Drosophila melanogaster: one gene and its partners. The protein of the gene in region 1 purifies or fractionates together with the protein of each later gene. This does not show direct contact. Each region holds a gene or a part of one and is shown in the gene's direction. Other genes may lie near its edges. The genes, in order: dco, Clk, Bdbt and tim.

Region 1 (10,612 bases):
GGAAATATTTTGCGAGCAAGAAAAGCAGCAAGGCGCAGAGTCAGGAAATATGCAAAAATACAAAAGGGCACTGCAAAAAAATGAGTGATTAAAGTTTTTCAAATATTATTCAAAACCAGTACCAGAGGCAGCTAAGTCTGTCGTCTGATTCGTATTTTTATTTAAAGAATAATATCAAAAACAAGTTTATATTGCGTGTTAAAAAAAAATACAACAAAATTAGGAAATAAATTGTCTTAGTATCCCAATAATGTGGCATACTTTTTTACAGTGTTCTTTGAATGGATCATTTACATACACGCGTCTCGCTCGGTTTTTATTGCTTCGCACCTACATATTTGGTTTACTTTTTTCGTTATTTATTTGTTGGTAGTTGACCATCGGTCGAAATAACGACGATTTTCATTCGTCGGCGATCGCACGTCTTTGCGTGTGTGAGTGGGAAAGATATGCTTTGAATTAGTGTGTGTGTGTGAGCGGTTAAACGAGTTGTTTTCTCGTTTTACTTGTTGTATCTTCAATTGCCTCGTTGGATTGCTTTGTTTTCTCTTTTTCCCAGCCAATGGGAGACAAAGGCGGGTTTTTACGAAGATCTTGAACGATTCACCAATAAATTGAAAATGGAGATTTCTATAGTTGCATAAAAAAAATGCATTCTGGCTAATGTATATAAATACAGCAATGGAAAATTAAAATCGTAGGCAAGTGCAATTAATGTGATTTATTTTGTCTATATTTCATTTTAAATTGCCAGCCCCAATATCGAATCGTTACACTCTTTTCACCCCTTTTTTTGTTATCATTTTCGAGTGATTGCTTATCTACCCTACCCCCACTTAAAAAGAAACACACCTTGGCACATACTCCCAAAAAAAAAAAAACACATTTTCTCATATATGCATACATAACTGGATCTGCTTCCTTTTTTTATGTCATCGTTTCTTGGGTTACACAGCCGGAAAATGCACGATGTGAGGGTAAATGGGGAAAGCGGTTGGGCGGACTAATGGAATTCACACGTGTTTTGCTTTATTCGTATTGCTGCAATAAAAGTATACGTTTCAGGTATTTCGATACATCTGTGTAACATCAAAATTGGCATGCTACCTATAACTGCAAGACATGCCAATGAAATCCATTTTCAATTTCTATTTACACGAGAATTTGGAGCACAAGCCTGTAAAAAGAGTTAACAACTTTTCTTAAGAACATTGCAAATTAAGACATAAATTTTATTTACATATTATTGAGTTATCAAATTTGTATATTAGTATAAATATCATTTCAGAATGATTTTTTTTTTTTTGTATTGTTTATTGTATTCTCTTTGAAAATAAAATTAAGCAGATGGGCCTTTGAATGCATAATTCAAAAACTTTCAATAACTTTAGATATTTTCAATTGCATTTCTGAAATAAGGCGCCACCTTTTGTTTCGGGCGCCACCTGGATACCACTTTCGCCAACTCATCCGCTAGGTGGCGCAGCTCAAAAATATTTTTCGTCCATCTGGCAGCACTGGGTCTATGTAAGAACTAGTGTGCCCATATAACAAAAACAGCGTTGTCAACTTGGCTATTTCACAGCTTTCCAGTTACTCGAACTTTGAACTTATGGCTAGCTGCAAGGATATAATTTCGTTTTTCTTTTGATTTTCCAATACTCTTGCGCTATTTTCTTAATGTGGTACTTCGAAACCAACTTTGGACTATCTTAACTTAGTATATGAATCACAGTTTTTCACAATTACATATCTTCTAGACATTCGCTGAGGAGTAAATACCAGATGGTAATTTTCTTCATTATCGGCGCGGTCACACTGCGAATATCAAGATGGCGTAAATTTGTAAAAAATCGTCGAAATCTATGTGAAATAGCCAGAAAAATTGAAACGAAAGCGCAGCGTTGATGCAAAACGTAAGTGGTCAGTAGCGTTTCGGATCGACAGACCCGTTTGCGAGCGAAAAAGCGGCGGTTACCACGCGCAGGAAAACTCGAATTTCCCAACAGCATTTCAGTGCTCATTGAGAGTGCGAGTGTGTGAGTGAGTGCCCTCGTCTTTGTGTTGGTGTGAAAATGCTGAAGCAGGAGGGATAGCAACGTGCTCGCGGTAGAAACCGTGCGAGTGCGGGCGGGACGACTAGTGTGCACGAATCTATTGCCAGGGCAAACGACTCGCATAAGTTTGGTTTTTTTAATAAGAGTCCGAGTTCCGTTTGGTTTCGTTTAATTTTCTCGAGTTGATTGGCAACAAGATGCTAATCAATGTGGCCATAAAATCAGAGAAGAACAGCATAACCGACTCGAAGATAAACGATAAAAATAACTGAAATATGGCAGCAATGCAGTATTATTAAAATTATTGCATAAAATGCGCTTGCGTGTGGCCCCAAAAAGTGCGACTGTGTGCGTGTGTTTGTGTGCGACTGTGGCAACTACAACAAAAACAACGTCTGGGCTCTAAAACAAAGAAAATGAAAATTATTGTGGCAGAATCAATCCAATTAAAAAATTCGATTTCGATTTCAGTCGAATTAGAAGAAGGAAAAGCAGCGTCGCCAGCAGAGGAAGTGGGCAAAGCGGAATAGGAAACAAGGAATATAAGAAAAACAAGCCACGGTAAGTGCGGAATTTGTTCCACTGTGCGTTCAAGTTTCCCTTCTCCACCCGCTATCGGCTGCTCCTTATCAGCCCCGTTATTCGCAGTGCATTCGTGGAGTGCCGTTAGTTTTCGGAGGCCATTAGCGTTTGACAATTAATTGCAAGTTTCCTTCCCCTTCTGAGGTTTCCCCGTTGGTTTTGCTCTGGTTTTTGGTTTTTCCATTTGCTCTTCCCTGTTTACTTAAGCTTTTTACTTTTGTGGCGCCTGCTGGAACAACTGTTTTTTGTATCTTCTTTGTTCTCCAGTGCGTTTTTTTGCGGAAGCTTTTCGGCAGCCGCCAACGCAACGTGCAGCTGTTTTGCAATTGTAATCAATTCGTGTTTACCCGCTGGTCCGAAACAACTGCTGGATACCCTGGGAAATATTTAGTTACCAATAGGAAAGACCGCGTTTTCCCTGCTAGCCTTCCAGTAAACAAATTAAAGCTCCTAAAATTAATACCACATTTCAATTTGACTTACAGTGCTTATACAGTGATTTCTTTCTGTGTAGAACATGGGAGATACAAATAAAAAACGGTACATTTCGGTTAAATAAATCAAAGCCAAGGCGAAAACAACAACAAACACAGGCAGGTTTTGAGGTTAGAACCGCAGAGTGAGTGATAAAGAGTCGGGAAAAGGAGGAGAGAGAGAGAGAGAGAAAGAGAGAGAGCGATCGAAATGCGTGAGCGGTAAAAGAAAGCGCACAGAATGTGGGAAAGAGGAGTGGGAAGGGGTTAGTGAGTGAGAGCCGCCGAAAACAATTAAACTAAATTTTTGTGATATTTGACCGGCAAGTGAAAACTTTCGGCTTGTTGCTTCGTTTTCTGACTTCCATGCGCTTTATCTTCGCTATTTGTTTGTGCTTTCCACCACTGAAAGTGTCATTTAAGTGGCATTTTCACAGTCGCTGCGTTTTATTTTACTTCTCTCCCTTTTGTCGCCGATTGTTTACTCCACGCATACACAAACACACGTCTCTTTTATCTATTTGTTGTTAATCTCTTCGTTGTCTTTTCCTGATTGCTGATTCACCTCCATGTTTCTGGTGTCGTCACGTAAAAAATACACTTGAAAAAAAGAATTATATCTATTCAAGGATGTAAAAGCACTACGGCACATTTGCTTTATTTTATAATAGTACAATATAATATTAAAATGACTAAAACAATAATGTGACGAATGTCAAAAAGTAGTGCTATTTTGCTCTGTGCATATAAATTATCGTTACTCATCACTTATTAAATCTGTTGTTTTCCCCATTCGTAATCAATACACACAGCCGAATGCAATGACGCACTCACTCTTAAATATAAATATACGAGATAAACTTTTACTTTGTGCGAGGTTCGGGTTCTTATCATTTTTGCCCACTGTGCATTTGCATTTCGAATTGCTTTTGGTACGCTTTTCTCTGCTATTTTTGTGTTGTCAACGTAAGCCAAGCTTACTTCTCTCCCGCTCTCTCTCTCTTGTTTTATTCTTAGCTAACGGTTTTCTATTTTCGATATCGATTGTTGCCGTGCGTTGTTTTCATGTCTGTGTGCCACAATCCTTATCACCACAAACAAAAGCGAATTCTGCACGTTTTTCGGGCTTACGCTGCAGATGCGATAAAAACAGGGGATTACTCTCTATATATAAGTGATCGCGAGACGGGTCGAATTTCGATTAACCATGTTGAGGATCTAAAAAAAAATTAACTTAGTACCTCCTATTACAGAACCCTTCGAATACAAAGCCATAAGCGACTGCCTTGAACAAATCGGAACAAGAAGAAGAAAGGAGCTCAGACGAAAGGACAGTGCCAGGTGAGAAAAGTGGAGAAGTGTTGGAAAATACTCACGAAGCTCCGTTAGCTCTCAAAATTAGACTTTTAGCAAACTGTACAAAACAGCAGGGTTGTCATCACGTGTCACAATATAGTGTCAGAAGAATCAAAAGTTGTAGCAAACAAAATCCGACGAATATTTTATCACTATCGCTAACAAGGCGTTCGATATTGTGTTGTTGCTTGCAAATAATCTCTTCTAATAATATCACACATTGTTGCTAGTGGTCAATAGCCGAATTTTCGAAGTCACTTGATTCATATTTACTCGTAAAAACCTGTGACGCCGCTGCTATTTCTATGATTAGTCAAAGCAACTAAGAATACTACGAATATTTACATTCTGATCGAATTCAACAATTTGCCTGCATCGTAGCAACCTTTCAATATCCTTTCGCGATTACAAAGTAAAAGTTTTAGTCCTTGGCGTAGATATTTAAATCTGTATAATATTTTAAGCGCAGCTAATCTGAACTGGGATCGATCAATTCGTGTAGCGTGTAGTATTATGAGTAAGAAAAGCGTACAGCCTTCTTTTCGAGGCAATGTGTTGTAAAATTAAAACTAAATTTCAATTCTCCGGTCCCGCAGAAAGGCAACGCAAATCCGAGGAACCCGAGGAGTCCGAACTCTACCACACAGAAACCCACAGAAACAGACGTAACAAAATGGAGCTGCGCGTGGGTAACAAATATCGCCTGGGCCGCAAGATAGGATCGGGATCGTTCGGCGACATCTACCTGGGCACCACGATCAACACTGGCGAGGAGGTGGCCATCAAGCTGGAGTGCATCCGCACCAAACACCCCCAGCTGCACATCGAGTCAAAGTTCTACAAGACGATGCAGGGTGGCATAGGCATACCCCGCATAATCTGGTGCGGCAGCGAGGGCGACTACAATGTGATGGTGATGGAGCTACTCGGACCCTCGCTGGAGGACCTCTTCAACTTTTGTTCACGCCGCTTTTCGTTGAAGACGGTTCTGCTGCTGGCGGACCAGATGATCTCCCGCATCGATTACATACACTCGCGGGACTTCATCCATCGCGACATCAAGCCGGATAACTTCCTCATGGGTCTTGGCAAAAAGGGCAACCTGGTGTACATCATTGACTTTGGCCTGGCCAAGAAATTCCGCGATGCCCGGTCGCTGAAGCACATTCCCTATCGGGAAAACAAGAACCTCACGGGCACTGCCCGCTATGCCTCCATCAACACACATTTGGGCATTGAGCAATCGCGTCGTGACGACCTGGAGTCCCTGGGCTACGTCCTAATGTACTTCAATCTGGGCGCCTTGCCCTGGCAGGGCTTAAAGGCAGCCAACAAGAGGCAAAAGTACGAGAGGATCTCGGAGAAGAAGCTGTCCACCTCGATTGTGGTGCTGTGCAAGGGCTTCCCCAGCGAGTTCGTCAACTATCTGAACTTCTGTCGCCAGATGCATTTCGACCAGCGTCCCGATTACTGCCACCTGCGCAAACTCTTCCGCAACTTGTTCCACCGTTTGGGCTTCACTTACGACTATGTGTTTGACTGGAACCTGCTTAAGTTTGGCGGACCTCGCAATCCCCAGGCGATTCAGCAGGCGCAGGACGGAGCGGACGGCCAGGCGGGTCATGATGCGGTGGCCGCAGCAGCGGCGGTGGCAGCAGCGGCAGCCGCCTCCTCGCATCAACAACAGCAGCACAAGGTCAATGCGGCGCTGGGTGGCGGAGGAGGCAGTGCAGCGCAACAGCAACTCCAGGGCGGCCAAACGCTGGCGATGCTGGGCGGCAATGGAGGCGGTAACGGCAGCCAACTGATCGGCGGCAACGGACTCAACATGGACGACTCGATGGCGGCCACCAACTCGTCGAGACCGCCGTACGACACGCCGGAGCGTCGGCCTTCGATACGGATGCGGCAGGGAGGCGGTGGTGGCGGCGGTGGAGTGGGCGTAGGCGGTATGCCGAGCGGCGGAGGGGGCGGTGGCGTGGGGAACGCCAAATAATATTTTATCGTTTAGGTTGCGACGCTGGACACGACACAGTAGACAAACAACAACAGAACTCAACAAACTATACATGTAGTATATATAGTTATATATACCTAATATATATAATACTTGCTTTATATATGCGGTAAAACACGTTGAATGTATCCAAGCGGCAGGATGACCAGGTCCCTGCCAGAAACGGAGGACAAGAGCAGTGAGAGAAGAAGAGCAGAGCATAGCAAAGCGCAGCGCTTTTCTTTTTTTGTGTGTACATTTTCGTTTGTTTTTTGACATTTTGGTTTCTGCTCCCAGATGTTAGAACGTTGAGCGCGCTTATTATTAATTAACTAGCCTATGATTAATTTAATTTATACTATTAGAACATAAACGATTGCAACCTGGCTGCAAGAAACTGCAACAAACCGCACTGTTCAATTGATTTGAGATCCCTGCCTGAAGATTGGCCAATAGATCGGCGGTTGATTAGGGGTCCGCGGAAGGGTTTGGGAGGAGGGTTAGCAGGACACGCAGGCATTTAATTCTGTTTTGCATTTGACTATTTGCTCTTGGCCGGCTCAACTTTTTCTTTGTTAACTTGAAGTCCCAGACCAAATCAGGCAGAACATGCAGAACCGATCATGAACACATAATAACTCGATTGTAAGTGTAATATTTGTGTAAAAGAAACAAAGGACACCGCGTTCAGCGAGTGTCCCTAACCCTAGACTATAGGCTCTAGCTCTAGCGAATCCAATCCATACAAAAGCATATGCCACACAGCAAGGCACCCACATTGTAACCTAAGTTGATGGTAAAATGATTGCGATTACCACGTGCAGTTCTCTAGCTTTAAGCAACGCTCTGACTTATAAGGCCCTCCTATGTTATATTATGTAACCTTCTGTACCGCCTACTCCCCTATCTATATATATATATTTATATATATATATATATATATATATATATATATATATATATATATATATATATATATATATATATACTTTCGTGGTCTGCACTTTGCTGCCTGTGTTCATATATATCTTTCCGATTTTTAAACACTTAAGCGCGCATTTCCCGAGCGGTGGGCAAATGGGATGCGAGATGTGGGAGCTGGGAGTTGGGGCAGCCCTTTGTTTACGCAACAAAATCATGTAACTAAGATAGAGAGCATATAAATTGCGTTAGACATACACAACAAAACAATTGCATTAACGTTTCGATTTAACAATGTAAGTAATGGCCCTGCGGAGGAAAGTTACACAACGCTAGCTAATAAACTATAGCTATAATATGAAATTTGTTTATAAGTAATACCAAACCGTAAAATAAAAAAGGAAAATGCAAAAAAAAAACTTAAATTCTAAATGCGCCAAGAGATAATGAATGGGTAAAAATATGAATATACATTAATATAAACTATATCTTATGAGAACACGTAAACATGTAAACCCCACAGCGATCGGCTGGCTAAGAACTAACAAATCAAAGAAATGCAAAACACAAATCGGATCACTGAACGCAGAAGCCACTAAAACTTAAATAAAAGTACATTACGTGATATTTCTTACAAATTGTTTTGTTTTCTAATCGGTTTGTTTCAGTCATTTTACTTTTATTTTTCGAACACAACTCCATTCGAAGCGCACGCCTTGCAAACGACCAACCTTGTAAACACGACCATATAGCGCATTCAGATTAGGGGATCCGCGACCGTGGAGAAGCCCCAATCCTCCTCCCCAAACCGAGAATTGAGAACCTAGTGATGAGTGTACATAAGAATAATATCCGAACCCCAAAAGTATAAAATTAAAATATATACATATGTGTGATTTTCCTCCTAGCATACAGAGTACTAAACCTAAACCATTAGCATTTTATTGATAGAAAAGAAACGAAATCGAAGCCCGACAAACTGATTCATAGCGATTATGAGCCACTAGAAATGGAGAACTAAATGATCTTGTATGAGCGAGCAGTCCATTCAGCATAAGCGAAATAGAGAAACTAACAAATTGAGAACATAGTAATTTCGAAGGTTTTGTATAATTAACTGTATATGTATATTGAGAATAGAATTTTGAACTAATAACTAATTATACTAATTGGATCGAGTTCGAGTGTATCATGGGCGATATGAGAGAAAATCATTAAAAATAAACCACCAGTGATATGGAATACAAAATAACCACAAACGAAATCGAAATCGAAATCGAAGCGGTTCATGAAACATTTCAAAAGTACGTTGGATCGGAATTCGACGGATGTATCGATAAGTGCACGATAAGGCCACATTTATGTAATTAGCAAGTATTTCGAATTAAACCGAACATGGAATATGTATGTGTGAACAGAATAAAAGCAGCTACTAAATAAGCCACACCACCATTCACAATAACAATTACGAACGAGGCATTAAAAAGCTTAAACAATAATAACACGACTCATCAGATTTGCTTATTGTGTTGTCAAACAGAAGTTGGGGGAAATTGTGGAGCTAAATTCCACCGTAAATGAAGGTTTCTTAAGTGAAGGATTTGAATATTCGATAATCTGGCAACGCCAATATACAAAAACAACCAGCCCTGGTCGAACAATCTGGCTACTCTACCGGTCAGCTGTTTTGCGTCTTTTTCGTGCTTGCGCTTTAAGGTCACTCTGAGCACGTCTTATTTTTGTTGGGTTGGCCCTGTAGTTTTTCACCGAAAAGGGTAAGGCCGAAATAAACAGATCGAAGCGATGCATGAGCTTGCGAAGACTTGACACCGATTAACCAATTGCCGATATTCCAGGTTTTGCTCCACGAACAGCAGCTAGAGGAACTTCAAAGATGGGAGCCCGACAGTCTCAATCCCGCGAGCCCCGAACCGTTTCAATGGAAAACCCAACTCCTGCCGGCGTTATTGATATATCCGACGATGTGGTCAAGCGACTGAAGGCGGGAATATCCCAGCAGGGTAAGCAATCCAATGGCATTGTGGAGTTATATCCGGAAATGACCATTTCACTCTGCTCGGTGTTATGCAACAATTGTCAAAACGGGCAAATGTTTACGCCAAACACAGTGGAAACTCGTTAACGAGAACAGCAGCAAGTTGTAGAGAGTGGCTCTTCTATCTTGTTCACAAAAAAAAAACGCACTTGAAAGGGTGTAGTTTTGGTTTCATTGGCTAGTTTCCATTCCTATTTGTATGTTTTTTTCATTAAACTATTGATTTATATCTTGTCCAATTCAGCTCGTGAGCACGCAGCCGCTGCGGAGGAATCGAAACCAGTGCCCAAGCCAACGACGAAGGCTGCCGCCAAGCCAGCCGCATCCTCGCCAGCTGCTTCTCCTGCTCCGAAAGTATCCTCCTATCCCGCTGCAGTGCCCATTTACGTCCAGGGAGGAGGACACACCATTAGCGCGGCCGATGTGCAGCGCCAGATGAACCAGGAGCTAATCAAGAATGACGAGCTGTGGAAGGAGCGCATGGCGAAGCTGGAGGAGAACCTCAAGAAGACCAACACCATCCTGGAGAAGGAGTACGCCAATGCTGTAGAAAATGTGCACAAGCGATTCGTCAGCACCGCGTCGTCGCACAAAGTGCCTCCCTGCCAGGACCTGAAATCCCAGCTGCTTGCCTGCTACCGCGCGCATCCCGGGGAGACCTTGAAGTGCATTGAGGAGGTGGCCCAATTCCGACAGTGCATCGATCTTCATCGCGTCCAGAAGCTGGATGCGGAACCAGAGTCGTCGAAAGTGACCTCCAAGGCCACCGTTCCTGCCAAGGCGGCCTAGGATCCTGGCAAATCCTTTTGTCCTAATTTGTTGACTTTTCTTTGAGGCCCCTTATGGGTTTTGTATAAACGATTGAGCGATCGATGGGGATGTACTCAAAACTTAAGCAAAAGTGTCATTGCGAGCGATAGTAAACTAACTTAAATGAATCAATCCATCGACGTTTTTATGGCCGGGATATTCTATTCAAGTTTACCATGACAAAAATAAAAAACATTGCATATTTTTCAGTGTATCTATTTGTTAAGTTGCAACGATCACTCCTCCATCTCGCTCACTCTCTCATTCAACGAAGCCATCCGTACGTCTATAAACTTTAATAACAATTAATATATTTAAAACAACATTAATTACAGCCCGCGACCGCGCAAAATAGCCGCAG
Region 2 (7,603 bases), on another chromosome or scaffold:
GATCAGCGATGGACCGGCGTGGGCGTGGTGGATTATAGCCCTGCTGCCCCTCTCCCAGCAACTAAAGGTGGGTTAAATGGTTTCTGTGTTCATTGCGACTTTTCTAACAATGATATCAACCCCATTAGGTGGACATTTTGGCCACTACTTCGCTGGAGAAGCGGTTGCGTGCCATTGACAAGACACTGGACTGGCTGCACGACCTGAGCCACCCACAACAGCCGGCGCACCACCCAATGAACCACCACCAGCAGGCGCCACAGTCGCCTCAGCAGGCGCATCATCTCGATCTCGACTGCGAAGAGCAGGAGGGCGCTTCTTCCGGTTCCGATGAGTGTTGCCTCTTTGCGGAAACCGGAAACGAGCCGCACACGGACGAGGAACTGCTCCTGTAAACCGCCAAGATGATCATCGTAATATTATAAAATACATGAAAATAGAGAGAAATTAAAAGTCAGATATCTGCGAGGAAAACACTCTTTTGTAAATTCTGTGTCTAAGCCATTTCGTTTGTAATCGAACGTTACATGTTAATCCTAGGGGCCAAAACCGAAAGCGAAGCAACCTTAGCAGAACCAAAATTATCACTAGATCAGCAACATAATCCTTAGCTCTAACCATAACTTTGTGTGTGTAATGTGTATTGTAAATGTGTGTAAACAACTAGAGAGCAAACCAGAGATATTTGTTTAAATCAAAAACGAAGAGAAAAGAAACCCGAAATCACCAGTGAAACAATCAAAACATGCTTTTGGCTCAAGCCCGTGCCCCAAAAATCCATAAATGCTAAAATAATATCCCTAGATCGACTACAACCACATTCCACAAGTCTTGAAAATACGTTTGCCATAGCAAAAGTAGCAAAGGAAAGGAAATAAACAAGAAATGAAATGTAAAATCTCTAACAAGCTAAACTCATGGTTTCTACAAACAACATACACAAATTTTTGACCATTAAACAATTTTAAAATTACTAGTAAAATACCAAGTCAAAGGCCAATAAACGTACACCTACAAATAAATCGGATAGGAAAGAGCCAAGAAAACAAACTCTTACAAAATGTCAAACTTCTCTTCATTTACTTTGTATAAAGCGGCTGGAACTCTAAGACAATCTGCAATATTTTTTTGATATACCTAAACGAAACTAAAAACTATATATACAAGAGTAATTAGACGAAAACTGAACTAGTAACTAGTTATGAAGAAAGTTAATGGGTGGACTAATGTGTTAAGAATTTGAAATTACCTTTCTGTTGACTAATACCCTTTCACTATGTATACCCTCTGAACTATGTCCCTCTCTATAACACCCCTACTCTCTCTTGATTATGCTTAGGCTAACTAAATGATATGCTCACCTATATGAACCTATATATAAAGTGCTATACGCTAAATGCTTATTTCTGTATTCGTATCTGTATCTTCAGCCCGCATTCCTATTGAAGAGATAGCTTTGATATATCTTTGTAACATTAGCTAAAACATCTTTGTCTTTGATTTCTTCTACTTCTAAGCCGCATACTCATTTTGTTTATTCTTTTTAATCGTTCAAACTCTCCCTATAAAGCAAATCAATTTTAAAAACAAAAATTTGCTTTATCAGTCGGCACATCTTTGTCTTTGTAAATATCTTTTTACGGATAATCCATAAATTATATGTACATTTTCTACGCTAGTTATAGAACACGAATTTAATTTTCAGCTCAACACAAAATAAATAAATAAATCAACATTTTTTGTCAACAAAATATTTATGTAATTTTATACAAAATATACACGAACGTCTAAATTAAATCATCGTGTATTTACGTTTAGACACTAAATACAATACAATCCCAAAATTTGACATTATTTTTGTGTCTACTTTATATGAAGAAATTATTACATAATTCTATATGAAACAAAAAAAAATTTATAATATTTCTAAAATTCTTAAGATCAAATCAACAACATATTTTCTCTGTGTTTTTTGTGCTAAATTTTTTTTACTGGTACTTCTTAATTTAATAATGATGTAAAATAAAGAGGAAAACAATTAAAATATAAAATAAATGTGGAACATAACTATGGTTTTTCTTTTAACTTATAAAAGTGGTTGATAAAAAAAACTATTGAGTTTCAGTTTGACAACAAAGTAGTTCTGACTACACCTCTGCATTGCTGAATAGCTACATATATACATCCTGTGCGTTGCATAAACCTATAAAACTTTCAAATCAAATCGAGAAAATCTTGTAAATTGCAAATCGAGTGCTGAAATGTTACGTAAGCATCTAATAAATATCGAATTTCTGGTGCAAGCGGTTCGCGATTAGGCAATCATGGAATAAGAATCAGAATTATTAGTTTTCTGTGCTACCTTTGCAGAAAGTGAGGTCGTAGTGCTAGATTCGGAGCTGAATTCCAATTGAATTGATTTTGAAGATAAAATACGACAAAGGAATCAAAGGTAAGGGTCGTGGTTCACTATTGAATTCATACTAAAACTACTTTATATATGAAATATTTATTGAAATATGAGTTTGCATTAAAAAGCTAATGCCGTAGTGCTTTGGAAATTATTTGTGTGGATTAACAAAAGCTGAAATGACAGTTTGGAAGTTCTTTTATCACTTTCCATACTATAAGACAATTTAATTAGTAAAAGTTTACATTAAATTAAATGATTAAATATTAAAACAGTTTGTTTAGTTTTAACTTTAAATTATGTTTAACTTCTCTTATTATTTCAAATTATATTTCAGTTCGCCTCACGTTGCATGAAATGCACATATGATCTGTTAATGTAAGTTTATAGACATGAAGCAGTATAGATAGATCAAAAGATAGTTAGGGTATGTTGCACCACCTACCTAGTTTCAGTCTATGCCGACCTATAGTCAAAAACTCACCCCTGCCACAGACCTTGAACTTAAGTCGCGGACAAACAAAACCCGTTGAATCACCCCTGCGAGACCCCCGAGAGACCCTTATATCTGTAATCTCCAGACGGAATGCCAGAAACACGCGGAATATTGGACAACAAACAGAAAGGTTGAAAGAAAACTATATAGAAAAGCTATACTATCCGATCCGAGAGAGACCCTCTGAGCAGAGTGGCTCTGAGCGTGCTGATAGTTTGATAGAGCGATAGATAAAGACTCAACTCAGGTTCACGATCGGTGCAATTGAGTGATATGGCGGATTCTGAGTGTGGAGAGCATATTAAATAATAGCCGAGTGGCGGTGCTCAATCAGTCAGTCAGTCAGGTAGAGCTGGGAATGCTTGCACATATCGCGTATACGCCCCGGCCGGCAAAAGGCATTACAACAGACTTGTAGACCGACTGACTCTCCCGACCGATTCGGTTTCGTATCTTTGTATCGGTGAGAACGCTTCTGGGGACTCGCTGCTCACATTTCGATGCATTTCGCGGTTTTTCGTTTATCCACGGGCTTTTTGCGTTTGTAGTTTTTATTTTCGCCAGCTTAGAACTTGCAATTCTCGTGCATTTATTCAGTTTGAGTCCAGCAAGCGCAGCGTCAACGAGCGGATCTCTCTCTTTAATTTTCCGATTCGGGTTTTCGATTTATTCGCATTTTCTCCGGGTTTTTTTTTTGAGCGCGCAGTTATTGTTTTATATCGCAAGTACTTGGCCGATCTGAAGCAAAGTCAAGCCGTCTGCCGTTGATATTGTCTCTGCCTGTAACTCGATCGCATATTACACACTTTTCGCCTTTTCGGTTCTGTTTCGGATTTGAAGGGGAATAATATTTTTGTTTGTCTCCGTCTTTGCGCTTAATTAAATTGCAGCTTTCTTCCTTGTTTCTGCTGATATTGCCAAAAAAGTTTTTTGTTTTACCTTTTACCATAAAAGAAATTAAAGTGTTTTTGTTATTGGATATCGTTTTCTATATATTGGCGTATATATGTCACCAAGTGCAGAAGTATAAAAAAAAAAACGCGCAAAGCAGAACGGGAAAAGTTATTATGTAACTTTTAAAACACTCGTGCCATAAAAACAGGAACAAATGTGGAATAATTCTTGAAGAAACAAAGTGAAAGGCAGAGGAAAAAACAAAAGTGGATAAGCCGCCAAAGGCAATATATGGATAAAAATAAATAGTTTAAATAATAATGGGCGTTTTTAAAAAGCCAAATAAAAAAGTGTAGTTATATGTCAGTGATGTTGCAATAAAACACAAATACAAGTTTTCACAAGTTAAAAATTGATCTTAGTTAAATACTAAAGTAGTAAAGTTTTATTTAATTGAACAAGTGCATCCAAACTAATGTAGCTAAGATTCAATTTCGAAGTAAATTAACTACTTTACCTGCTAATTACCAAAGTTTTGCGCCAGATTCAAAAGATTAAATTACAAATCAGCTGCGGCAAAATTGTGAAGTGTGCAAAGCAAAAGTGGAGGAAAAAAATAAAAATAATAAAAGCAAAAGTGCATTAGGTAGAACATCCGCAGTGACAAAAATAACAGAAGAAAAATGCCGCGCCAAAAAAGATAAGGCAAACCCAAGGATGAGATACGAGCGAATACGAGTGAAGATACTTCTCGCTTAAAACAAAAGTGCATTCAACCAAAAAAAAATTGAAAACAAACTACCTGTGAGAGCGATTTTTCCACATACATATAATAAAAACTATAATTTTTTTAAAATGTCTTTAGATTTGGAAAGGTATTTTAATAATGTACTCTTTATTCGAATTTTGAATGGAGTTGTGTCGTTTGTTTACTCTAAAAGTTGGATTTCGTACCCAATATTAAAATAAATATAAAAATTAAAAAATATTTTTAGATATTGGTTTTAGTTTCATTCAGCAAGATTGATTGGATATTTTACGCAGTACACTATTTTCATTCCGGTGAATTCAAGATAAATAATATTGTTTGTAAGTTTTGCTTAATTACAAGAATTTCCAGTGGCTGAAACTAGCTAGGTAATTTGCTAGTCGCTTTGCAATCCAACTATTTCCATTTGTTTTATTTAAATTTTTTTTTTTTTGTTTTTTTTATTGTTGGCTGACAAGTCTCAGGTCTCGGATGTGGCGTCTTTTTGAGTTTTTGAAACGTCATCGTCAGCGTTTGACTGCCCCGAGTATCTGTGTGCGCCAGTCTATCTGTGTGCGTGTGTTCTGCTGCAATGGTGTGAGTACGCGTGTGCATTTGTGCAGTGGTGTGCGATCATGCGGTAGTCGCACACGCTCTCAGTAAAACTTATTTCAATTGACAACTAAAAAAACTATAGGCACATGCAAAAAGGTTTTAAACATTACAAGTGATACAACTTCGATTCTTGTTTTTGCATTTAGTCGAATAAATGGGGCACAATTACGAAACGCTACTTAATTTAATCTGCAGTCAGCTGCACTTTCTGGCCATTTTCGCTCTGGCTTGCAGAGCGTATACTTCATTTTCACTTAGAGCAAATATGGCTAGTTGTTGATACGGTGAGATAAGCAACTGATTGACAACTACTCCAGATCTATTTTTTTTTTTTTTTAACAATATTGAGGTAGTTGGAAACAAAGAACGAAAACTTAAGGAAAGCCTCTGGGTCGTTTTTTAATTAAAAGAACTTATAGAAAAATGCACTTAAATTTCTAATGACTAAAAGTTAGACACCCTTCATTTATATCAAAAGGAATAACCTAAAGAGAGCAAAACTTTGGACTGAATAAGTTTAACCTAATGAATTTTGTAATGGTATAGTGAGTTTTTGTCCACTTAAATGAAATCAAGTTAGTTTTTAATTAGTCGGAATTTAATCGATACTAAATAGAATTCATTTAAAATTTCCCCCTTAACGAAAATATTATTCAATTTCAATCTAAACATATTAAATCATTATAAAGATCGATTTATGTGATGAACTGATGATTTTAAGCAGACTGCTAATGATTCAGATACGTCAATTTATTATTAGATTGTTAAACGTTTAGGGAAAGGAAAATCCAAGATCCGTTTAGGGTTCTGTTTATAGAACAACAACTCCATGCTGGAAAACCACATAGAAGTATACCCCTTGAACACTATTAACGATGAACTCGGAATTGGTAGATTGTAATTAAATCCCGTCTCGGTAAAATAAGGGGGAACGAACGCCGACGAAATAAATCAATGAATGACTAGAGGTAAAAATAAAATAATAGTGAACAATTTAATTAAGTCAAGTTTAAGACAACAAACGCTAGAGCGCGACGAAAAGTATTACAAGTTTTGCGGAAAGAGAAATAGAAGGCGAGGAAGCAAAGTTGTACAACGGGTCGTATGAGTATTGGGTATTATCACTCACACACGGGCACTATGTTGTAATCGCAATGCAATTAGCATTGCCAAGCAAAAGCTCAAGTTCACTGACAAAGAAATCCAGAGACAGAGAGAGAAAGAGAGAGTGAGAGAGAGAGAGAGATATGGGGTGCACATATATAGGTAACCCACACATCGATAGTATGCGATAATTTCTGTAACTGAGCGAAGCTTTACAAATGCAATCAAATGACGTTAGTTCCCCGTTTCCAATGCGCCAAAGCGAGACAGCAATGACTAGAGAGTGCAATTGAGCGAGACGGGGCGATTGCCGATTACAGAGAGGGGTAGAGTTATGGCCACTATATCTCCCGACGTCGTGAGTAGGTCAGTCAACGATCTTCGCCTGGGTTGAGTAAACCTGACACTCCAACCGGCTTTCTGTGCTTTTTTCTCCACTCCGACTAACTGGCTTCCGCATTGCAAATGTGTATTTAGATATTCCAGCACACTACAGCACACTATTCCACAACAATGTGGTCAATGCCAATTGTTTGATACATCAGATACTATTTGTAATAGATGATGCTTATACTCTATATCACATACTGTGTAGAATTTGATGTTGGTTTTAAAGCTGTTTAGTGCAGTTCAATTCACTGGGGTGAAGGCTAAAAGAGATTGGAAAAGCTAAGGTGAACGAAAGGTATTGTACTTACATTTTCATAAGTAACAAACTTCAAAACTATTTAAAAGTCACTAATGATTTTTAAGAGGAGTAACTAACTCAGCAACTTTAGATCACAATCATATTGGATTGAGATTAATGAAGTCTTCATTTTAGAAAGTGATTGATTGATCTTTCGACTTGAGGTTTATAAACATTTTAGGCAGTTTGGACTTTTTGTAAACGTCTTAAAGATTATTTAAGCTGTATTGAGGCAACGTATATTTTTTTTTTTTAACCCAATAATTCCAGAGTTTATAATTGAGTTGTAATTGGACCACATTCCTCGGGGCAAAGCTAGCTTACTGAATAATAATACCTGACACCCTCTCTATATGTCTCCATCTTAAACCTTATCTCGACTGCTTTTTTGCACTTTGCGACAAACCAAACCGACCGCACTAATTGCAACACGAACCATTAAGCGAGTCATTGGCAATTATCTGGCAGCATTTGAAGTCTGGGTCTGGGCCAACAGCTACTTACGGTTAACCAGCAACACTTGGCCAAAAAGGAACGGGACGCTTTTCGGCCTTTGATGTGTATTTAAAATGCTCTCCAACCCATACATGTAGGCATGTGGGAAATTATGAGCTGCGCTTTGGGTCCATTGGTCAAACGGAGGTAAAC
Region 3 (6,146 bases), 9.9 Mb from region 1:
GAACTCGAAGGGTGTCTATTGTCTGCAGTACGATGACGGCAAGATTGTCTCCGGACTGAGGGACAACACCATCAAGATCTGGGATCGCACGGATTTGCAGTGCGTTAAGGTAGCATTCGACATAATCAATCCATAAGATTCTGATTACTAACACACTGCCCGCCGAATTGCAGACCCTAATGGGCCACACTGGATCGGTGCTGTGCCTGCAGTATGACGACAAGGTGATCATCAGTGGCTCCAGCGACTCCACCGTCCGCGTGTGGGACGTCAATACCGGCGAGATGGTCAACACCCTTATCCACCACTGCGAGGCGGTGCTGCACTTGCGCTTTAACAATGGCATGATGGTTACCTGCTCCAAGGATCGCTCCATCGCCGTCTGGGACATGACCTCACCCAGCGAGATTACGCTGCGGCGCGTCCTTGTCGGTCACCGTGCCGCCGTCAATGTGGTGGACTTTGATGAGAAGTACATCGTGTCCGCCAGCGGGGATCGCACCATCAAGGTCTGGTCCACATCTAGCTGTGAATTCGTGCGCACCTTGAATGGCCACAAGCGTGGCATCGCCTGCCTACAGTACAGAGATCGCCTGGTGGTCAGCGGCAGCTCAGACAATTCCATAAGGTGAGGCGTGTGAACTTAACCAACCGACTTTCCGGCGCTGATGTGATTAATGATGGGTGTAGATAATTTCTGCGTGAATGTTGCGATTAGTAGTGGGAATTAACTCCGTCTGCCGTATCACAGATAGTAGCTTTAATTAACGCGTATTTCCTTACATTTTGTTAGTATCTGAATATTAATGAACTGTTCGTTTTTGTATATATTTATATATCATAAATATTATATTAAGTTTTCCTATCATTTTAAACTGCATAAAGAGATCATTTTCTTTTCTTTTACTTTGTCTACAACAATCTAATATAACAAATTTGAATTTTATTTTCTTTTTTTCAGACTGTGGGACATTGAGTGCGGTGCCTGTTTACGTGTCCTGGAGGGCCATGAGGAATTGGTTCGCTGCATTCGTTTCGATACGAAACGAATCGTTAGCGGTGCCTACGATGGCAAGATCAAGGTTTGGGATTTGGTCGCCGCCCTGGATCCAAGAGCAGCCTCCAATACTCTCTGTCTGAATACCCTTGTGGTGAGTCATTCGGCCAGTCCGTAGTAGCATTTGTCTAATCTCGATGGTGAACCCTTTTAGGAACATACTGGTCGCGTATTTCGTTTGCAATTCGATGAGTTCCAGATTGTTAGCAGCTCGCATGATGATACAATTTTGATTTGGGACTTTCTAAATTTCACACCCAATGAGAACAAGACCGGACGCACACCGTCACGTAAGAGAAGCCAACTTTCACCCCATTGATCTCTTGAATTATGCATAACGATTTCGTTTTGTTTTCTCAATTTCCATTGTGCTTGTTGCTATAGCGGCCTTGATGGAACATTAACATTTTGTGCAACGGCAGCTGCGCGAGTTACATCTACAATCCTCGAGCGAAGGAGAGGAGGACGACGATGCGGACGAGGACGACGAGGATGATTTTGAGGAGGAGGATTCTAGAAACGATGCTGGCGCGTTTATGGGGGGATATGTTAGGCACCGGGATGCTGGTGGTTCGGGATCCGTCACCGGTTCCGGTTCGGATCCCGAATCGGATGACCTGGATTTCGATATAGATGTTGAGAATATTAATGATTATGATGAATAATGAGTGAATGGTCGTTAACCAGCAGCATATACATACACACAGCAGACTTGTTTAAACAAAAAACGATGTTGAACCCAAGATACAGCGATCTCTAAGCGTCTATTTTACACACTACATCCACACACACACACACACACGAAACACAACCACATAATATGAATTAAATGAAGTTATAAAAGCAAACAAACAATAAATGCAGGAGTATACCATTTATGCAGATATTTCGCAAAACTGGCTGTTAGGTTTGTCGTGTACGAATGAAACAAAAATGAAAGATGCAAAAACGGAAGGACAGAAAAAGTAAAATTATATATAAGTTTATGTAGGCGCTGTAATACTAATCGAGGGTCAGTCTTTGAATCGCCCTTCGGATCAGTGGATCGATCGATTGGGCGTTATTTTAAGTGTTTCTTTAGCTCAAATACACAAGTATCGCGTTTAGGCAGCTGCCGCCTCAAGAATCGCAGCAGGAATCTTCAGCGCGGCCAGAAGAATCAGTCTTTAGCATAAATGTTAGTTAGAGTTGCATCATTGAAATTGGCAGAGCGCGTTGCCGTTTTGCACATTTGTAACCTATTTTACACGCCTTTTGCCTAATGTTTGTGTTAATTGTAAAGTAAATCTAAGCCTAGTATCTTATTGGCAATTGTAATCTAAGTTAACCGAAATACAAATATTTTAATTGAAAAGTTAATTGTGTAAAGAAGGACACGCAGCAGTGTCTGCAACTGGAAGTTGCACATCTTTCGAGCGAAGATGAATTGAAAATGGATCCATTGTACTGCAATATATAACCGATTCTTTGATTGATTGATCTATGCTAACTATAGGTTTTAGATATACCGATGTATGTAGAAAATAGCAAATTCCCAGGCAATTTCAACAATATAATTATATGTATGTATGCCGTTCGTTGATTGTGATCAATGGATATTTTACTATGTGTATTGCTATTTGTAAGTTAAGTTCCAATGCTATACTTGATCTGGATCACGATCACGCCGCTTCCGCGTTAACTAATGTATGTACATAACGTTTTACTTTAACAAAAGTGTTAACAAAAATATGAACACATACTCCGGATTATGTAAAACTGTTAGTGGAAAGAGGGCAGCATGTTAAACGATGGCCGAGCAACTGCTAGTGCGCGAATGGGCTTAGTATATGTAACATAACTAGAAATAATAATAAATTGTGTATAAATGCTAGAAAATTGTTTATCTTAAATGGACTCACCCAATTGATTAAATTTAGTGAAGCGGAAATGGGTAATAAAAAGTTTTACTAAAGAGCCATGAGTTACAATAAATGCATGCTAACATTTTTGTTTTGGAATAGAAAGATTAAAACCACTAGAATTGAATTGGGCGGTTTTATAATATTATATAACCGCATATTATTGTATTTCCTAAGCTCTGAAAATTTTCATATTGTTGCCCAATTTCTCCTTCGCACTCCCACCAGCTGCGTACAAGGTATCTGATAGTCGACTAACTCACTTGTTTTGCAAATAGATGCGTAGTCCATGCATTACATTTATGAACTAGTGAGAACAAAGTATTTTTTGTGAAATTCGCGATAGGTACATTTTTGACGGTTTTCTGGTCACATCGCCAAATCGCAAACTTTGCTTACTGCTAAATTTCGAAGCTCCCAATTTGCAAATATTCCAAAATGGACTGGTACGTGGGCACAGAGTGGGAGGACAAGAACCGTGGTCTGGCCAAGAAGGTAATTGGCCTCCAATTCACCGAAATGGACAAGCCCACGATAATCAGTACGGTGGAATTCAGTGTCAACAAGAAAGCCACCAACTTGGGAGGACGACCTAGCAAATATTTGGTCAGCGATGAGTCCGCTACGTATCCTCAAAAGCACAGCCTGGAAATGGGCACCAGCCTGACCGCAGTGGACTGCTACTTGGAGCTGCTGCTGCAGCAATTTGTGCCGGGTGAAACGGCAGCCTGTAGCATCACGACCAAAACCGGCGAACGAATAGAATTTGAACTGAAGCTGGAGAAAATTGTGAAGAACACTCAGGTGGAGAAGCTAAGCGCTGCAGAGATCTATGAGGTGGCACTACGTCTCAAGGAAAGCGGCGTGGCCACCTTTAAGACGTTCCCGAAATTCGCCTTTGATTACTTTGTGCGTGCCGCAAAGTTGCTGATCACCTACAAACCCTTCGATAAACTGACCAAAAAGACCAATGGCATCAACGGCCAGGCGGTGGAGGAGCTCTTTATTCAGATACAGACCAACCTGGCCGCCTGTTTGCTGCAGGAGAAACGCTATGAGCATGTAATCTACCACACGCAGTTTGTGGAGACGGAGGAGAGTCCCAGCGAGAAGAGCATCTACCGGCGTGCACTCGCCTACTATCACCTGAAGGAGTTCGCCAAGGCGCAAGCCACCATCGAGCGAATGCCCAACTACGAGGAGAAGCGAGAGTTCAGCAAGCTGCGCGACAACATCGCTGTTAGCTGGAAGGATAGCAAGGCCCATTACAAGGAGGTGGTGCAACGTATGTTTAGTTAGTTCCCATTGATAACATTGCGATGTCGTGTTAACCAATGGTCTTTATAAAATAGCTTATGTTAAATGTACTACTTTGATTTTCTACTCTTTCTGTGGTCAAACTTGGCGCGCTTGTTTTTGGGATCGAACTTGGCTCTCCTGTTCTTGGGGTCGAATTTGTCCTTCTTGTCCTTGCGATCGAACTTGTCCTTACGATCGTACTTGTCCGTGCGCTCAGATTTGTCATTCTTGTCCTTGGTATCCAGTTTAGCGCGCTTGTTCTTGTATTTCATTCCGCCGCCCAAACTAGGCCGCTTTCGGGAGGACTTCGCTTCCATTTTGAACAGTTCTGCAAAGGAAACATTAGTTTATATTCTACGCAGCATGTAGCACAACTCACCTTCGTCTGGTTCCTCGCCGACTTCCTCCTTGTAGTACTCTGCATCATCCTCGGGATCGCTGTCAGTCCGTCCCTCTGCCGCCCTCTTGGCAGCCCATTTTTCATCCTTCTTAAGCTTCAAGTTGCGGGCACGGTTCTCTGCCTGCTCCTTCTTGCGCTGCTCCTTCTGCTTTCGCTTCTTTTCGACCAGCTTGCGCAGGGTTTCCTTTTCGTCCTCTGTCTTGACCACATGGTCGTGATACAGTACTTCGCCCGTCAGAAGGCCCTCTTCTATTTTGATGAGCTGCATGGTTAGTCGAGGTCCGATCTCGTGTAGCTTTATGGAGCTCTTTTTGTCCTCCAAGTTGCCCTTGCTTTTAAGAGTCTGTGCCAGCACCACATGTGATTGCTCATCATCTTCGGCCTCTGATTCGGAGGCATAGCCGTCCCTGAAAATCAATATTATGATTATTTGATGGAATGAGAACAAACGGTCATTTCCTACTTGGTCACAAAGTCCACGACTTCGTTGCACTTGCCCAGATTGGGTACCGTTCCTTTGACGATTTTCTGGACCGCCCGCTTTAAGCCAACCGGCACCACCTGCACGGAGTAGTGCCGCATCTCGACCAGCTTCGTGTCCGGATTGTAGGAGAACAGGACGCAGCGACGAATGGTGCCGATATTAACCGTGGCCAAGTTAATTGAGGGGAACATGTTTTGGAACGTGGTGGCCATCAGCTTAAGGTGCTTGCCATCGCCACTGAAGTTGTTCATGATGACGAGCGGAGCGTGCTTGAAGTGATCGTTGTCAATCATCTGCTTTTTGCTTAGCGAGATCACATCTCTGGCCAGGGTGAACTGGTGAACCTGACAGAGAATAACTTCGCGGTAAAATATCCAGTATAAACTAAGCGATGAAACAAACAAACCTTGAAAGTCAGGGAAGGACCGCGCGGCAAGCGGACCACTTTGAAGGACAGCTGCGTGGAGGCCTTGTTGAAGATGCCCATGTGCGAGACGTGGAAGAAGCTGCTCAGGCTGACAAAGTCCTTGATGCGGTTCATCCGCTTCTCGCGCAGATTGCTGGCCGTAAAGGGCTCCATAATGCGGCGGAAGTCCAGGGTGAGGTCCGTGATGTACGGACAGGCGAGGCCGCGATGGATGACGAAGGAGTGCGGCGCCTCCACGATCTCGCTCGGCTCGCTGGCCTTGAAGGCCGCCGTGCGCGTCTTCGGATGCACTTTCTTCTTACCGCCCATGTTTCAATGTTTTTGTTCACTTTTCTCCCGCACGTGTATGGATCAGTGTGGCTGCTCGCGCGGAAAATACCAAACACCCACTCCGACGTCTGCCTTTGGTCACTCTAATCCCATTTTAAATTTCGATTTTCCGCCCAATTGAAAGCACTTCTGTTTTATTTAAATTATATTTATTTAATCACACTTAACATAGCAAACACAAATGATGTTATTTCGTTTCATTTATGCATTTAAAGTTTTACAACTGTTTTTGTTTGATTTCTCTTTAT
Region 4 (7,700 bases), on another chromosome or scaffold:
AAGGTTTTACTCTGCCTTAGGCCATTGAATACCTTCGGTTTATGTTAAACAACCATGTTGGCTCTCCGCTTGTTTGTACTGCTGCAGTGCAGCCTGTTGGTTCTGGCTGGCGTTTGTTTAATACCACAGCCCGTTAAGAGGCAGCGATCGCTTGAGGATGTTATAAAGAATCCCTGGAAGCTATCACCCCGCCTGGATGGCCGTATTGTGGGCGGTCACCGCATCAACATCACCGATGCACCACATCAGGTTTCGCTGCAGACTTCGTCCCATATTTGCGGCGGTTCTATTATATCCGAGGAGTGGATATTGACTGCCGCCCATTGCACATAGTAAGTAAGCCGCTCAAGGAATCTTCTCTAGAGAGTATGCCAAAAATGATTCCTCCTGATTTCGTAGTGGTAAAACGGCAGATCGCCTGAAAGTGCGACTCGGAACCAGCGAATTTGCTCGCAGTGGCCAACTTCTGCGGGTGCAGAAGATCGTGCAGCACGCCCAGTTCAACTACACCAATGTGGACTACGATTTCTCGCTGCTTCAGCTAGCTCATCCCATCAAGTTTGACGAGACCAAAAAGGCGGTCAAGCTGCCCGAGTCTCAGATGAAATACATGGACGGGGAAGCTTGCTTCGTGAGTGGTTGGGGCAACACCCAGAACCTGCTGGAGTCCCGCGAGTGGCTGCGTCAGGTGGAGGTGCCTCTGGTCAATCAGGAGCTTTGCAGCGAGAAGTACAAACAGTACGGCGGCGTCACCGAGCGAATGATCTGTGCTGGATTTCTGGAAGGCGGAAAGGATGCGTGCCAAGGCGATTCCGGCGGTCCGATGGTCAGTGAATCGGGCGAGCTGGTGGGCGTGGTTAGCTGGGGCTACGGTTGCGCTAAGCCCGACTATCCGGGTGTCTACTCAAGAGTAAGTTTCGCACGGGATTGGATCAAGGAGCACAGTGGTGTCTAGATTCGTATATCCTGCACAGTTAACATAGTTTGAAATCAATTTCTTCCTATGCGATTGCTTTGACTAGATGTATTTCAAATACCCGCAATAAAAAATTATCAAACGATGCCAACCAATCCGATGGAACCATTTCATAATGCGCCGCTTCAATAGAAGGATTCGCACACGTTGCCAGCACGCAGCCAGCATTTCAAACACGCGACCCTCCAGGATATCGCACACTTCGCCGGCGCATGTCGCGTTGTTGGAAATGAGTCTACTTGGCCACGTTAAGAGGATGTGTCGGGCTGCACGAGTCCTTGGCCGTTTGTGAGGGATGGAGTGGGCATCGCATCTAATTGTTTTGCTTTTGATTGGGAGGCTTATCAGCCAACTTTCATCGTGACTGTCCACCGTTCATGTGTTACATGCGGCGTATACGCAATTACTTGCATTACGTATACGTAGGGACAAGTTTTTGTGCATTGGCGTGGCTTACTTTGCCGCTGAACGGACTCCGCCATTGTTGTGTTTGCTTAGTGATAAATTAGCTTACAGAAATTAACATCAGGCGTTGCATAATTCAGATGTATGTACTTGCATAGCCTTGGCATTGGCGAAGTGATCGCACAACTTACGTTGAGTGGAAACTTTGGGCGGATCGGCTGAAGTGGTCTAATCAATGCTATGTTCTTACATTGGCACTTTCGTTTTTCTCCATTCACTTTGCAGCAATGGATATATAACTTAAATATTATTTGCAAAAAATAAAAAAATTAATTCATAGTTGAAATGTATTCAATCAAAATCTGCTCCTTTATATTAAAAATATAGTTAGATTGTCACCTTTTACAAAAGTCTAACCATCTAATTAACAGCATTATTAATTTGTTTCTTTTTTTTGTGACAACTAATCTTCTTATTGAAATAATAGAATTTGATAGTCTGGGTTGAATAACATTTTGACGTCAAATCGCCTATTGTGAGTGAGTGACTTCGTAAAATGAGAGTGTCAGTTATTTATTTCTATCGCCCCAGTCCGAGCAAAAGTATTTTCCTAAACCTCCGTTTCCAGTCGATTTACCACCGCGATTCGGTGCCGACGTGCTGCAGCTCGCGCCACCGTGGAAACACTCAAAGTAAATATATACGCTCCCCACAGTATACGCATTCAATGAGCCCGGTGCGTATACGCCGCGTGTGCCCGCGCCTGCAACCAACTGTTGATTCCGTTCCCAAAAGGATTATTCAACGGATCATCTGAGGCACTCAGAGCCGAACAATGTCACCCTGACGAAGCCTACGGCAGAGTCGTTCGAAGGCGGCGTCAAAAACGTTTAACTTTACACTGAAAAAAATATTGGTTTTAATGTGAAACGTCTGTGAGGAATACAGTACAGCAGCAGACAAAATAATATAATATTTATGTATGTAACAAAATATGTCATTGAATATATTATATACATATAAACGTGAGTGTTGTATAATCAAAAAAAAACGTAGTTTTGAAATCATTTATATTAATTATTTTGCACACTAAATATATACATTTATTAAATAAAGTAAAGTAAAGTATTAAAGTAAAGTGAAGTCTCGTTATTGAAGATACCATTTGGTAAAGTGACACACTTTTTTTTTTTGAGTGCACAGAAACGTTCTGACTATTGCTGTTGTTCCCAGACTGTTCTCCGTATTTTCCGGCGCTGGTTATTCATGTTATCGAACATCGTAGTGGCGGTTGGCAAATAAACGTGCGGCACGTTGTGATTACACGTGAGCCGATTTCCCCGGCCGTCCGGCATTGAGTGCGAGCGGGACGGAGCAGCGCGGCGAGAGCTTTCGGCTAGCGTCTTTCGTTCGCACAAACGCCGGCAGCGGCACGTTGGCCCTGTGTGAGTGGGTGTTTCGGTCAGTGTGTGTATCTGTGAGATGCATTTTGTATCTGACTTCGGTGAGCTAGCCGTAACTCAGATCGCATTCAGCATTGTGCGTTCCAAGTAAGCGGTTCGTTGAGCGGTTCGAAGTTTATCAACAAAATAGAAGTTTCGAAAATAAATATCTCTTAAATAAAGAAAATTTAATAAAGATATTTTGCTAAAATAATCTTGAATACTTTTGTGAATTCATGCAATAATATTTATTAATTCACATATCAATAATCTTAAAGAGAGTGCTTACATGACTCACTGGTCTTTCTCTCAGTGTTTAGCCTAGATTGCAATCGAAAAAAGTGCAAATTAATTGCTATTGAAGTTGCATTTTACATAAGCCAACAACGAGTATAAAGAATTTTTTGTGCAGTGTTAACAAAGCAAAGTTCACAAAGTGTTAAATAAAATTGCAAATCCTTAACAAATTTTTCATGAGTGGTTAAAATCTTAATATTACCAAAAAAACTGAATTTACCCTAACAAATATTCTTAAAACTACTTTCAGATATAAAACAAAAATAATTTCATCAGTGTATATAACAGCACTGAAACTATAACACGATCTATTCTGCAAAGAAACCCAAAAAGTGCTCAGAAAAGCTCAATTGCTTAGAAACATAAACAATCAGCTTTAATTGTTGATTGCAATTCGGCTAAAACTAAAACAGTAAAATTGTCTGCGATAGAAAAAATTTAAATAATTGGTAAGAAATATAAACCACTAGTATATTTAACATTACATAGCTTAGACCTGACCTAACACAGTTCGTTATCAGTTGACCCCTGACAAAATTACACTTTAACAAAGCTTTCTAAAAAGTAGCTTTAAGCGGCGACATATTCAAGCAATTAAAGCTTGCACAGAAAGAAAACCCATTTCCACATGAAAACGAAATCACATAATACTGGGAAAATGAAAACAAGTTAAAGGGGCAATTTACGAAGCACAACAATTCTCCGTTACAATTCTTATGTAAAAAGCACGCAGTGAACTGTCAAAAAAGGAGGCTTGGCCTTCCACGGAATTCCTGTCAGAAACAGGATAGCGAAATAAGTACGGGAATCGTCCTGAAACTGACAGATTTCATCCTGGCACACAGATGTTCAGTGGTTTCTGCTCGTTTAGCTAGGATTTTAACGACCCTCAGATGTATTTGCATTGCAAATTCAAATCTTAAATATTTATTCGTGATCTATCTTTGCTTTCCGTTTCAAATGCAAATTCAACCTCGCTTCAATGAATTTCCCCTTTGCGAAAGAATGAAAATTGTTTTCACTCTCCAAGAAAAGTAGATACTCAGCTCGAAATTTCAATGCGCATATCATTTTGTAGTTCTCGCCTTGCGTTTTATGTAAGTTGGGTCTTTGATTTCATAACCAGTCAGCGGAAATGGTATTGGGGTTGCTAGAAACGTTTCACAGATACAAAGATGCTCAGATGATCTATGATTTCGGATGGTGCAAAAATTATGCTCGACCAACAAAATTCGATATTAGTTTCAGTAGAAATATCTAAGTAAAATTTAAAAGAAAAGTATTTTTATTTTTTTTCTCTTAGATATCACTGTTTTCTTATTAATTATATTTTTTAATATTTTCTATAAAATGTCCATAATTTATTGTCCCTCAATTTACACACAATTAAATCTCCCTTCTTAGATATAATTTCCTATTGAGCATTATTACATTTTAAAACAATTTTATAGTAAATCAGCTAGGCCATAAATGGCTTTGTAATTTTAAAATTTTCTCAACTGTTTGCGCTGTTTATTTTCCGCTCTTGGCCATTTAGCGTGCCATTTAACGTGTTCGCCCAAAAGAGGGCAACGAAAACCAATGCAACTAAACTGCATTCGCTTTAATGGCCAAATATAGCACGAAACATTCAAAGTCAGCAGGCTGGAAGCCGCACAAATGCCAAATCCTGCATCCCGATTCATGTCCTATAAATATCGCTACGGGTGGTCGGCTTTTCCGACTGCAGGCTTTGTTCCTCCGGAGTCCCGTAGTCCGTAGTCCGTTTGCGAACCCAGTGGCTTTGTCCTCCAACTGTGTTGTTTACACAATCAGCCCGGATGTCTGCAAGTGAGTCACATGCGGCCACCGGGTGCCGCAGTCGCCTGTTGAGGATTTGCCTCGTTACGTGATGGCTGAAGGTTGGGCTCCCCCCTGTGTGGGGGGGGGGGGTGGTGGTGTTTGCCAATCCAGCCCACTTTTTCACTTTCCGGACTGGCAAGTGTGGCTTCTGGGAACTTTCGGGGCTCGTCTGGTAGGCAGTTTCCTTGATTCGACTCGCAACGGGTGGTAAATGGGAGACGTGCTGTGCGGACACGTGTGTGAGGTGATGTGGAATGGGAGTTGATTCGGGTTTCATCCCCGAGCGGCTGCAATTGCAGCACATTGCATGGACTGCGCCCTTGATGGTCACATGGGTGGCGATTTTGTTTGCGAGTGCAAATATTTATGGGAATCATTTGTGGTTGCGTAATGCCCTGGAAGACGATGGGTTAGTGACCTTAACATATTTTAAGGTGACTGTTACAGCTTACAAAAATGCCATAAATTTTTCACCATTTCACATCTCAGTTTAAATGTGTAATATTATTTAAATTCACCTCTGGTACCACGTTAAGAATATTTAAGTTTTAATAACAATTAAATATACATTTTTGTTTACTTATAGTTACAGATACCGCGCAAATGGCTAAGAAGTACCTCAATGTTCGCAGTCGACAATGAGCAGAGTTAGGCAGCTCCACAATCACATCTGGAATAATCAGAACTTTGATAAAGTGAAATCGGTTATGGACTGGTTACTAGCAACTCCGCAGTTGTACAGCGCGTTCTCCTCCTTGGGTTGCTTGGAGGGCGATACCTATGTGGTCAACCCGAATGCATTGGGTGAGTAATCAATATAGGACTACTACATTAATTAGGTATTTAACTTATTTTCAATCCCCAGCCATTCTGGAGGAGATCAACTACAAGCTCACCTATGAGGACCAAACACTGCGCACCTTTCGACGGGCCATTGGATTTGGCCAGAATGTGAGGTCAGACCTGATACCGCTGCTGGAGAATGCCAAGGATGATGCGGTCCTGGAGTCGGTCATCCGGATACTCGTCAATCTGACGGTGCCGGTGGAGTGCCTCTTCTCCGTGGACGTGATGTACCGCACGGATGTGGGTCGCCACACCATCTTCGAGCTGAACAAGCTGCTGTACACCAGCAAGGAAGCATTTACCGAGGCCAGGAGCACCAAGAGCGTGGTGGAGTACATGAAACACATACTGGAGTCGGACCCTAAGCTGTCGCCGCACAAATGCGATCAAATCAACAACTGTCTGCTGCTGCTGAGAAATATCCTGCACATTCCAGAGACGCATGCCCATTGCGTGATGCCCATGATGCAGTCGATGCCGCATGGCATCTCCATGCAGAACACGATCTTGTGGAATCTCTTCATCCAGAGCATCGACAAGTTACTCCTGTATCTGATGACCTGTCCGCAGAGAGCCTTCTGGGGAGTGACCATGGTGCAACTGATTGCTTTGATCTACAAGGATCAGCATGTGAGCACTCTGCAAAAACTACTTAGCCTCTGGTTCGAAGCCTCTCTGTCGGAGAGCTCTGAGGATAATGAGAGTAATACCTCGCCCCCCAAACAGGGCAGTGGCGATTCCAGCCCCATGCTGACCTCTGATCCTACCTCTGATTCCTCGGACAATGGCAGCAATGGCCGTGGCATGGGCGGTGGCATGCGGGAAGGAACAGCGGCCACTTTGCAGGAGGTGAGCCGCAAGGGTCAGGAGTATCAGAACGCCATGGCCAGAGTGCCAGCGGATAAGCCCGATGGCTCCGAAGAGGCCAGCGATATGACGGGGAACGACAGCGAGCAGCCTGGATCGCCGGAGCAATCGCAGCCCGCCGGCGAGTCCATGGACGATGGAGATTACGAGGACCAGAGACACAGGCAACTGAACGAGCATGGCGAGGAGGATGAAGATGAGGTGAGTTTCTATGACCAGTGCCATTGAAATATATAACAAAATATCGTACTCTTCCAGGACGAAGTGGAGGAGGAAGAGTACCTACAATTGGGCCCAGCCTCGGAGCCCCTAAACTTAACACAACAACCAGCTGACAAGGTCAACAACACTACCAACCCAACGTCCAGTGCGCCACAAGGCTGCCTGGGCAATGAGCCATTCAAGCCACCACCTCCTCTGCCAGTCAGAGCCTCCACCTCGGCACACGCTCAAATGCAGAAGTTCAACGAATCGTCCTACGCGTCCCACGTATCTGCGGTCAAATTGGGCCAAAAGTCCCCACATGCCGGCCAGCTCCAGCTGACCAAGGGCAAGTGTTGCCCACAGAAGCGGGAATGCCCCTCCTCGCAGTCGGAGCTATCGGATTGCGGTTATGGCACCCAGGTGGAAAATCAGGAATCCATTTCCACCTCCAGCAACGACGATGATGGGCCGCAGGGCAAGCCGCAGCACCAGAAGCCTCCGTGTAACACGAAGCCACGGAATAAACCACGGACGATTATGTCGCCAATGGACAAAAAGGAGCTTAGACGCAAAAAACTGGTCAAGCGCAGCAAAAGCAGCCTGTAAGTTTCAGGAAAATCCACAGCAAATTGATTAGAAATCAGAAAAAAAAACTTTTGTAACCATTTAACAATAATATTAAATTCACAGCATCAACATGAAGGGTCTGGTACAGCACACCCCCACCGATGATGACATCTCCAATCTGCTGAAGGAATTCACCGTGGATTTCCTCCTCAAGGGTTACAGCTATCTGGTGGAGGAACTGCACATGCAACTGC

Evidence for each region.
Region 2: the proteins of dco (region 1) and Clk purify together in Drosophila melanogaster (affinity purification with western blotting; 2 studies listed by BioGRID). This does not show direct contact.
Region 3: the proteins of dco (region 1) and Bdbt purify together in Drosophila melanogaster (affinity purification with western blotting; 3 studies listed by BioGRID, with this or other methods). This does not show direct contact.
Region 4: the proteins of dco (region 1) and tim purify together in Drosophila melanogaster (affinity purification with western blotting, with the first as the bait; 2 studies listed by BioGRID). This does not show direct contact.

The regions. Positions count from the first base shown.
Region 1 is NT_033777.3:31,052,381-31,062,992, reverse strand, and holds dco (discs overgrown), read left to right. Parts: upstream 1-1,782; 5' UTR 1,783-1,916; exon of another isoform or gene 1,917-2,528; 5' UTR 2,529-2,618; intron 2,619-4,350; exon of another isoform or gene 4,351-4,365; 5' UTR 4,366-4,453; intron 4,454-5,064; 5' UTR 5,065-5,141; coding exon 5,142-6,464; 3' UTR 6,465-8,908; downstream 8,909-10,612. Other genes in the region: Chchd3 (Coiled-coil-helix-coiled-coil-helix domain containing 3), read left to right, coding at 9,280-9,406, 9,686-10,230; Alp4 (alkaline phosphatase 4), read right to left, coding at 10,581-10,612. UniProt on the Drosophila melanogaster protein: Serine/threonine-protein kinase which is involved in the circadian rhythm pathway, viability and planar cell polarity.
Region 2 is NT_037436.4:7,771,262-7,778,864, reverse strand, and holds the start of Clk (clock), read left to right. Parts: upstream 1-3,261; 5' UTR 3,262-3,369; intron 3,370-7,603. Other genes in the region: CG32369 (uncharacterized protein), read left to right, coding at 1-67, 129-395. UniProt on the Drosophila melanogaster protein: Circadian regulator that acts as a transcription factor and generates a rhythmic output with a period of about 24 hours. Oscillates in antiphase to the cycling observed for period (PER) and timeless (TIM).
Region 3 is NT_033777.3:21,116,035-21,122,180, reverse strand, and holds Bdbt (bride of doubletime), read left to right. Parts: upstream 1-3,324; 5' UTR 3,325-3,396; coding exon 3,397-4,257; 3' UTR 4,258-4,324; downstream 4,325-6,146. Other genes in the region: slmb (supernumerary limbs), read left to right, coding at 1-109, 174-628, 962-1,151, 1,212-1,347, 1,442-1,461; ppan (peter pan), read right to left, coding at 4,326-4,585, 4,637-5,064, 5,121-5,485, 5,548-5,877. UniProt on the Drosophila melanogaster protein: Functions in planar polarity establishment and circadian rhythms by promoting the activity and localization of dco/dbt.
Region 4 is NT_033779.5:3,502,427-3,510,126, reverse strand, and holds the start of tim (timeless), read left to right. Parts: upstream 1-2,908; 5' UTR 2,909-2,931; exon of another isoform or gene 2,932-2,938; intron 2,939-3,370; 5' UTR 3,371-3,569; intron 3,570-5,548; 5' UTR 5,549-5,600; coding exon 5,601-5,766; intron 5,767-5,827; coding exon 5,828-6,876; intron 6,877-6,933; coding exon 6,934-7,481; intron 7,482-7,569; coding exon 7,570-7,700. Other genes in the region: CG31954 (uncharacterized protein), read left to right, coding at 55-332, 400-955. UniProt on the Drosophila melanogaster protein: Required for the production of circadian rhythms. The biological cycle depends on the rhythmic formation and nuclear localization of the TIM-PER complex. Light induces the degradation of TIM, which promotes elimination of PER.